Arabidopsis thaliana: one gene and its partner. The protein of the gene in region 1 interacts with the protein of each later gene in a pairwise test. Each region holds a gene or a part of one and is shown on either strand. Other genes may lie near its edges. The genes, in order: AT3G14100 and AT1G16500.

Evidence for each region.
Region 2: the proteins of AT3G14100 (region 1) and AT1G16500 interact in a two-hybrid assay, tested with the Arabidopsis thaliana proteins (one large-scale study listed by BioGRID).

What each region holds. Positions count from the first base shown.
Region 1 is NC_003074.8:4,670,887-4,676,662, reverse strand, and holds AT3G14100 (RNA-binding (RRM/RBD/RNP motifs) family protein), read right to left. Parts: upstream 3,748-5,776; 5' UTR 3,637-3,747; coding exon 3,517-3,636; intron 3,140-3,516; coding exon 3,078-3,139; intron 2,990-3,077; coding exon 2,887-2,989; exon of another isoform or gene 2,699-2,886; coding exon 2,622-2,698; intron 2,536-2,621; coding exon 2,474-2,535; intron 2,391-2,473; coding exon 2,303-2,390; intron 2,206-2,302; coding exon 2,130-2,205; intron 2,034-2,129; coding exon 2,003-2,033; intron 1,763-2,002; coding exon 1,643-1,762; intron 1,502-1,642; coding exon 1,416-1,501; intron 1,290-1,415; coding exon 1,113-1,289; intron 995-1,112; coding exon 713-994; 3' UTR 501-712; downstream 1-500. Other genes in the region: FLU (Tetratricopeptide repeat (TPR)-like superfamily protein), read left to right, coding at 1-441; EXO70D3 (exocyst subunit exo70 family protein D3), read left to right, coding at 5,284-5,776.
Region 2 is NC_003070.9:5,637,128-5,640,988, reverse strand, and holds AT1G16500 (filamentous hemagglutinin transporter), read right to left. Parts: upstream 2,211-3,861; 5' UTR 1,911-2,210; coding exon 1,683-1,910; intron 1,546-1,682; coding exon 994-1,545; 3' UTR 787-993; downstream 1-786.

The DNA of each region.
Region 1 (5,776 bases):
GCCAAAATCGAGTCTTATGCACCAAGCTTGAGTTATGCTCCAGTGGGAGCAAGAATCCCAGATAGTGAAATCATTGTGGAACCAAAGAAACAAGAGTTGATTTCCAAGTTGAAAACAGGAAAAACCTTTCTTAGGAACCAAGAACCAGAGAAAGCTTATACAGAGTTCAAGATAGCTTTGGAACTTGCCCAGAGTCTCAAAGACCCCACCGAAGAAAAGAAGGCTGCAAGAGGCCTAGGCGCCTCGCTGCAGCGCCAAGGGAAGTATAGGGAAGCCATACAGTATCACTCCATGGTTCTAGCCATCTCAAAGAGGGAAAGTGAAGATTCTGGAATCACTGAAGCATATGGAGCTATTGCAGACTGTTATACCGAGCTGGGAGATCTCGAGAAAGCTGGAAAGTTCTATGATACGTACATTGCTCGGTTAGAGACTGACTGATCCTTCCGCAATGTTTTTTTCTTTGTTGTCTGTTTATGTTCATGTAAAATCACATAGAATGGATATCCAAATCCCTTTTATTGAATGTAATTCGCTTGTCTTACAATCCATGGGAATACATAACTAATCATACAACTGCAGATAAAACTTTATATAGATAACTTAAGTGAGAGACAAACAGACACACACAAACAAGTTCTAGACAAACAAAAAAAAAAGAGAAAAAGCAAAGAGATTGAAACTTGAGATCGGCGCCACGAACTGAGGTTTATTACTGATAGTACATGAGTTGCTGTGCGGCGGCTACATTCTGAAAGCCACCATCATACATGGCTGCAGTTGCTCCAGCGGCATTTATTCCATGAGCCTGCCTTAGAGGGTGTTGACCCTGTTGATGCATTAACGCATTCACACTTGCCATCTTGCTAAGTGCCAATTGCCTCTCATAGTTTAGGAGATCAGCTGCAGATAGACCAGGAACTGGAGCTGGGGCAGGTGGGGGAAGTGGGTTTGAGGCTGTACCTGGTGGAGTTGGCTTGTTTCCCCATGAGCACTACAATTAACATGATAACAAATGTCAGATTGCATGCTAAGTTTCAGATGAAGTAACTTTTGGGAGCAGTAAGATCAAATAGAGAGGGTTTAGAGTGGTAAGCCAAACTTAAAAGTACCTTTATCTGTCTGTTAAAGAGGTAAGGCTGAGTGTTACCCATCTGAATAGCAAGAGCAGCTTCGGGATGAGTGTTATATCTCACGAAACCAAAGCCTTTGTCTCGTTGGACACGGACCTCCTCAATAACTCCAGCGCCAAGAGCATGGAAGTAACGGTGTAGATCAAGCTGAGTTACCTGCAAGATAGATAGCTGTAACGATGTACCCGAAATCTACTAATGTAAAACTTCATCAAAGAACCTCAAATAAACTGTTTTTGTTGTGATAGTATTACAAGGAGCACTTCCTAGTGGATAATGTACCTCTGGAGCAAGGTTTCCCACATAAACAGTGGTAAACTGAGAATTATTTTCAGGTGTTTCCTCATTTAATGTCTCTTTACCATCCTCTGCACAATCAAACGACCAATATGGCTTTGTTAACTTAAAGTTTTTCATATTACTCAGGGAAAATCAATGTAGGTTCGTAAATTCCATTTGAGGAGAAGGAGAAAAAAACATAAGAATTTGCACAGTAATAGAAAGACAACCTGATGAGCCAGTTGTAAGTTCCACAACACTTTTTCCATCAGAACTGAGCTTATCATCACCAGAAGTAGCGCCCTTCGTGGCCCAGTTGCATCTGATTTGTCTGCTACTTAACCACTTACCTGAGAAGATGTGATAGAAACAAAGATTAATTGCTAAGAATAAAGAGAAAACCTCAATTTTAGATGACACTGAAACAGAAGTTATGCAACTTTCAGCAGCTCTTGACTAACAAATCAAGAAAACTTTCAGCAGGTCTTTCTAGGCACAGTATCATTCAGTTGCATGCAAATTCTAAGCACTTCAGAACAAGAAAGCATGAGAACGAAGTACTGAGATCTCAGCTACTATATAATCCTTACCATTCATCTCATTAATGGCAGTTTGAGCATCCTGCAAATGAAATCAACATTTAACATTAATGTAAACCACGAACAATCCTTGAGCTAAAACAAAAACTCACTGCATGATTTAAAGAATGTACATTACCTGTTGATTGCGGAAGGAAACAAACCCAAAGCCTCTCGAGCGCCCAGTTTTTTGGTCCCACATAACTCTCGCATCCCTTCAAAATATTAGACACAGTCAGAGATTATGATATTTGTTTTACAACCAAGTAGAATAAGTTAGTTAAAAGGAGCTGATCAAGCAACAGAACTTACGAACAACTGGAAAAGACAGAAAAGCTTTGATATAATGTTGCATCAGTGACCTCTGGACTGAGATCTCCAACAAAAATGTTGAAATGACCTGCAACTCATGGAAACTAAAACATTGAGTATCCTCAAAAACATACAAACAAAATGCAACACTTAAAAAAAGTCAAAACTTACTTGATGTATCTTCCCTCTGACCAGTGGCATACGCCCAATTGACTTTGATAGGCTGTCCAAACCTGTAAACTCGACGATTATAACCTAAACAAAAGCATTCGAACGATAAGAAGAGGAGAGGAAGGAAACTATGAAAATTGTTCCTTACAGATGCCTTCCGTTCAGAGACAGTATAGCCAGAGCAGCGGATCTTCGATCAAAGTAGTGAACAAATCCATATGATGACTGCAAATAAATAAAAAGATGCATGCTTTATGAGTCCATTTTTAGTAAGCAGCAAGTAGAGTAGTTTCCTTAAAGTATTAAAAATGTGCAATTGTTGAGGTATGCTCGTCCAAAACAAGAAAGCTACTATATAAGAGGGTCACTTTCACAATAAAGTAGAAATCAGGTGGATTTTAGAATCTAACTACCTTATCCTTTCTGATGAGTTTACTGCTTTCAACAGGGCCAGTGCTTGTAAAAATCTCTTGAAGCAAAGGCTCTGTGACCTGTGTATGGATGTTTCCAACATACCTGCCAATATTAGAATAATTGGAGAAGTTAAAACATAAACTCGGAACTGCACCTTTCAGACAAAGCGATGCTAAAAAAATTCACTCACACGCTACGGCAAGTACTGGGATCAAAACCAGGAGGAAGGTTTCCACTTGGAACAGGCTCTAACTGCAATTGCCAAAAGTAAGAAAGAAAGAAAATGAAAAGGATTGCAATTTCTTTTCTATCCCCATTAGAAAAGCACGAGAAGGTAAATATCAGCTCAATTTGGTAATGACGCAACAAAACTAAAACACAAAGACATCACAACAGATAAAAGGAACGAATTGCTAGCCTACAGGATCTGGAAACCCTAGCCATCCATTCAATCAAATGAGAAAAAGAAACACAGAATATGAACAAAAATTATCTTCAAATGAAGAACACAAACTAAACCCGACCCGGAATAAAAGGACTCACGAAAGAGACGACAGTACAAAAAAAAAAAAATCCAATTTCGACCAAAATTAGACACATCGAAGATGTAATAAAGGTAAAATAAAAACCTGAGGAGGAGCCAAAACACCAGGATGGTAAAGAGAGTGTTGCTGCATCAGAGCTTGTTGCTGCATCATAGCTTGTTGTTGTTGTTGCTGCTGATGTTGCTTCAGTCTCGGATTCTGCATTTTTTTTCCCCACTGATAAAAAGAAAGAAAGATATCTCTGTTTGTTTCTCCTAGACAATTTTTGATTTTCCTCCGCTAGGGTTCAGGTACTATATCGTTCACGAGATGAAGAAAGAAAAAAAAAAAAACTAACAAAAAAAAAAGAAAGAAAATAAAAAAAGAAAAAGGTAGAAAGAGAAAAAAAAAATCAGAGAGGAAAGAGAAAGAAGCTGTCCGTAGAAGATGAGAGGGACCGTGCGGCACAAGTGAACTATTTATAGCACGATTTATTTTATTGCTAATTTTCAGAGAACAAGTCAGGTGAAACTAACGTCACGGCACTGTGACAACCATTTTTAGTGACTGCCAATAATACTCCTTGTCCGTTCCTTATCTTACTGACAGCCCAGTCTTAGGCCCAAGCCCATATCTAAAGACGACGTCGTTTATCCTGCAGATATCAAAGGAGGACCAGTATTTCTGACTAACTTGTTCTGTGGACCCAAGCGTGTATATTGGATTAGTCCGGTCTTTGTGACTGATTAGATGAATTTATTTAAGGACTCAAATAAAATGAGGATTATTTTTTTGTGTGAAAGAGAAACAAATTGAGAACTGAAAAAGAAAATTGTATTATTATGATCTTGTATGTGAGATATATCAAATTTTCAATTTATTGTTAAGTTAACCTAATTGTTCAAACAATTCAATAACCTTAAATATTCATGACTACAACTTGTATTATCTCCTTTACTTAATCGGCTCGATTAAAATCAAGTATGGTCCACCAACCACATCTCATTATGAGGTTTGACAATCTACATTTATTTTCTCGACTATTCAAAAATATACAAAAAAAAAAAACATGTCCAAATTGGTACTCTCTTATCCGCAGGTAATTTGATTACATATACAAATTGATGTCCTTGCCATGCCAACATGGGCCAACCACGTCATAACATTTTAGGTAAACTATTTATAACAAAAATTATGTAAAGAAAAAATCCGAATTAGTAGCACAGAAACAACTACATTATTTTAGTTTATTGAAAGTATTGTATATTTGAAAATGTATATGTCATATATATATATATATATATATTTTTAGATAACTGAAAAAAAAAAGTTTCCAAAATTACTGGCTTAAGTGATCCCACTATGGAAATGAAAGATCATAATAAGACATGATGTGTGTCTTTTTTTTTATATCGAGAAAGTGGGACTTTGTTTTAGGCATAATAGCATTTATGACTAGATCTCACCCAATAATTCGACAAACCAAAAAAGTTTTTACCGGGCATTTTACGCCGCCGGCGAGTAATTCGGAATAAAAAAGTTTAAAATTTATCGGCAACGTACACACAAAGAGGAGTTGAAAAGTCCAAAGACTTATTTTTTCCGATTTCCCACCTCTCGCAGAAACTTCCAAAAATTAAAACTAAAAACAATACAAACAGACAGCTTTGCCTTTGCTAAGACTTCTTCCGATAAGCAAAAAAAAAAAAACCGAAGTGGTTTCTTACCAAAAAATCAACCAATCTCCTTCACGAATTTCCATCTGAGAAGAATTTGAATCGGTGGAGGTGAGAATCATTCATTGGCTTTCGAATTTTGAAGTTTTCTTTATACTGTTTTTGATTTTTTGTTGTTGTCTGATTGATTTATTAGATGGAACCGCCGGAGAATAGTTTAGATTCCGATGGTTCGAACTTAGAGACAGCGGAGAGGATAATACTCCGGTGGGACTCAGCAGCGACTGATGGAGCAAGAGGGAAGATGATTTTCCAAAGCGATCGTGATGAGGTGGATCGGTTTCTTCGAGCCGTTGATGAAATCCAACGGTCCTTATCTTCTGTCTCTTTCTCTTCTTCTTCCTCCTCCGCCGCCACCTCCGCCGCCACCGTAGTCGATGAACACGAGGTCAAAGCCAACTCAGCTATTCAAATCGCTATGGCTAGACTCGAAGACGAGTTCCGTAACATTCTTCTCTCCCACACAACTACTTTCGAGCCTGATTCACTTTTCCTCGAGGAACCATCAGTCTCTCCGTCTTTAACCGTCGAAGTTGGAGAAGATACCACCGTAACTCCCGAAGAAGAAGAATTAAATTCTCCAGGTGGTTCCGGTTCAAGCCGGTTAACTCGTAGAAGAAGCAGTTACA
Region 2 (3,861 bases), on another chromosome or scaffold:
TTTATACGGTATATGCGTGTGCATTAACATGCATCGTTACCCTATGGAAGTGGAGTTAGGTCAGCAAACTTTAATGACTCATTATTCCACTTAAATTCTCATTTTTCGTCGGTTTAATCAATGTATTAAGTAGCCTTACCAGTACTCTATGTCTACGGTGAATTCGTCATACTCCACTTAATGTCATTGGGAACAAAAGATACTTGAAAATACTGAAACGTCATTAGATTACCTTAATGTAAATATTCCGTTACACTAAAATAAAAGAATCAAGCCAGATTGTTTAAGGCTGCAAGCGTGTGCATTTTGTATAAGAATATGATTTTCAAAATACTCCATCCGTTTCAAATACTAGATGTTGTGGAATATTTCTTCTCGTTTCAGAAATTAGATTTTTTTTTTCATTGAATGTTTTTTATTTTACCTTTTAGTTTACACCTAATTTAATACTAAAGAAATTTTCTAAATAATATGAATATACAAACAATGGTATACACTTTGTAATTGCAAATAAGTTTTTATACAGTATACATCATGTATAAAAACTAAACATATACTAAAATATATCTCGAAACAGAGAGAATAATAAAGTAACTTATATAAATTTCTCCAACTAACTTTGAACTAACCCGTGACTTAAGTTGCTTCCTTAATATGACAAATAAAAACATTGGGTTCTTTAAGATGCGGAATAAATACCAGTACAGTTGAAGTAAATATAATGAAATATGTTGACCAAATAATATAAGAGTATAATTTGGTTACCTCTTACTCTCTAGTAGTATCTAATTAATTAGAGCGTTTTTCAAATAATTAAAGATCAACTATTCATTCATCAGAGAAAATCCATTACATAACAATTTACAAAATAACATCCATCTCTTCCTTTCTGCATTTAATTTCTTTTCAATGAAACCCCCTGATTTTATCTATCATTTACAGAAATCGAACCTACAAAATAAAACCATTCAATTCTATCCCCCAAAGTTTTTTTCACATCGAAATGTTAAGATCAATCTTAGGCTTCTTCATGGCAGGCAAAGGAACAAACGAATGACACCTCGGGCATTTCGGATTGTTCTTTGCCACAAACACGTACGATAAGCACCCTGGACATCCAGCCGCCACCTGAGACGCCGCGACGGTGGCAGAAGCGGTTCCATCGTAAACGCCGTCATCTTCAGGAGATTGGCGTTTCTTTGTATCTTTCTCCGCCCTTTCCAAAGCCAATTTCACCTTATCTAGTGTGCAAACACTCGATAGATACGAGAGAGACTGATTTGGAGAAAAAGAAGACAGAGGAGGAGGAAGAGGACGAGAGATAGAAGACGGAACTAGCTTCAGTTCAAGGCTTGTGTCGTCGTCATCGTCGAAGAGGCTTAACAATGGTTTCGCCGGAAACTTATCGGAAATCGGTGGCACATTCAAATCTTGAAATCTTGGAACTGTTTGGTTGGTTTGGTCTTCGTGATGATGATGATGATGATGAGACGATGATGACGAGCTCGTTGAATTGCATTGTTGTTGCAGATACACTTTCCCTGACTGTTCAAAAAAATCACAACGAATCTATAAATCATTCAAATCTTTGGAAACCTCTCTGTTTTGTTAGTTTCTTATCTCCAAATTCTCTCGAGAACACGAAACTACAAAAATCAAGAAGAAAGAAAATAGCGACGAACCTTTAAGTCGAGACGTTTTTCCCATCCGTTAGGGACTTGGACGTCAAGGTCAAGCTCCAGCGACTGTTCGTCTCCTCCTCCTCCTCCACCCACACAACCGCCGATTCCGAGGAGATCGCGTGTCATGAGCGCCACCGTGGATCTTGGTCCGGTGGAATCTTTTACAACCGTCCGATCATCCTTGAACCTACTCAGTATCCGTACGAGAGAGCTGACGTCAGCAGCCATACCAAGAAAGCAGAGAGAAAGAGAGAGAGAGAGGGGAGGTCAGTTATGGGGTCTGTTAGGCAGAGAGAGAGTTATATAGATGGGGCCATTGTAAGAAAAACAGAGCCTTCTACTCTCAAAGTTAATTACGAGGACGGTTATAAGTAGTAAATTTATAGCCAATTAATTTCTTTCATTTATTGTGAATATACTAGGATACTTTTGTTTGCATGGAAATTCTTTATTGTTGTACCATCTTTTGTCTACCGTGAAAGATTTAATTTCATGTGTAATTTTGTATTCTACACCTTACAATCTGTGAAAGATAGTATATGAATCATTTCATATTTCATATTTTTGTCATACGTTTATAAACTGGAGATTGTACCCATTCCATTCATGCCTAAGTGGAAAAAGGCTAAGGTAAATATCATCAAACCCATAATTCAGAACTTTATGAATCATCTTTTTCATCGACGAACTAAACTTTCAAACTCTTTTTTTTGTTGTTGCCAACATAAGTATTAAATGAATAAATAAATAAGAGTAACAAATTAACAGCAAAAAGGCCAAAGAAAAGGTGTGGAGGGAGGAATTCAAGGAGGAAGCAGACACAAAGTGTAATAAATGCTAAGAAAATAAAACGCATTAAATGCATGGAAACTACAAGTAGATTCAAGCTTCTATCCATTAAATTACATATTTTACCCCTTGTCATACTCCTCTCTCTCTACTTGTTGTAATCATAATTTTCAAATTTTTCTTAGTCTTACGTTCAAATTCAATTAATTACTCAATTAACTACACGCATTGATGAACCATGTATTTAATGCACTTCGTCTTCTCTTTTTTATTGGGCACGTCAAAGATATTTAATGAAGTAGGTATTGGTACGAATGTGGTATTTAGAGTAAACCACCATTAGTATTATGTGTTTAACACCAATCTATATCCCTTTAGCAAAAAAGATAAAACAAGAACATATCCTTCATATATTTCTTGACTTTTCGAAATCTTATTAGAACCAAACTCTTACACATATTAAGGCCATAGGTTGGATATGTTTTTTATGTCCCCAATAATTTCAGCCACTATTCAGTCTGTCTATACCTATATTCTTTCTGTTGTTGCATACCTATATTCGACTATGGTGAATTAGTTTATATTTTAGAGTAAAATATATTTTTGTTGTGAGTTAAATTTTATGATTTATGAGTTTAGAATTTCAACTTTTATATTCATGGTATATTTTCTAAGAATTTAACGTTTGAAATTTAGAGTTAAGGATTTCAAGTTAACTGAAACAAAAAAAATTATACTACTATTGTTATAATTTGATATAAATTTAAATTATTTGATAATATTCATTTAATATAAAATTATAGAGAACTAAATTAAATAAAGTAACCGTTATAAGGCGTTAGAAAAAAACTTTTCAAGATTGTATTGTCTTTTTTAGAACCTTTGTCGATAATATATAATATGGACAACGATATTACCATTAAAATTTATAATGTTCTATTATCTTTTTAAAAATCCAAAATGTCATATACGTTTTTTGTCAATAATATATAATCTATACAATGATATTAACACAAACTGCTAATTTATCAGTCAAATTTATTATTTAAACTTACAACGTTCTATTACCTTTTGAAAAATTAAAATATCGTTTATTTTTTTGTCGATTTTATATAATACAAACGATATTAACACAAACAACCAACTTACTAGTTAAAATTTATAACGTTCTATTTTCAAATTTTAAAATCTAAAAATATCAGTATTTATGTTTTTTGTCAATAATATATAATACGTAATGATATCAACACAAACCATCAATTTACCGGTCAAAATTTATTATTCAAACTTGTAACGTTCTATTGTCTTTTTAAAATATAAGAATATCATTTATATTTATAATCTACAATATATATAAATAATATCAACATAAATCAGCAATTTACCAATT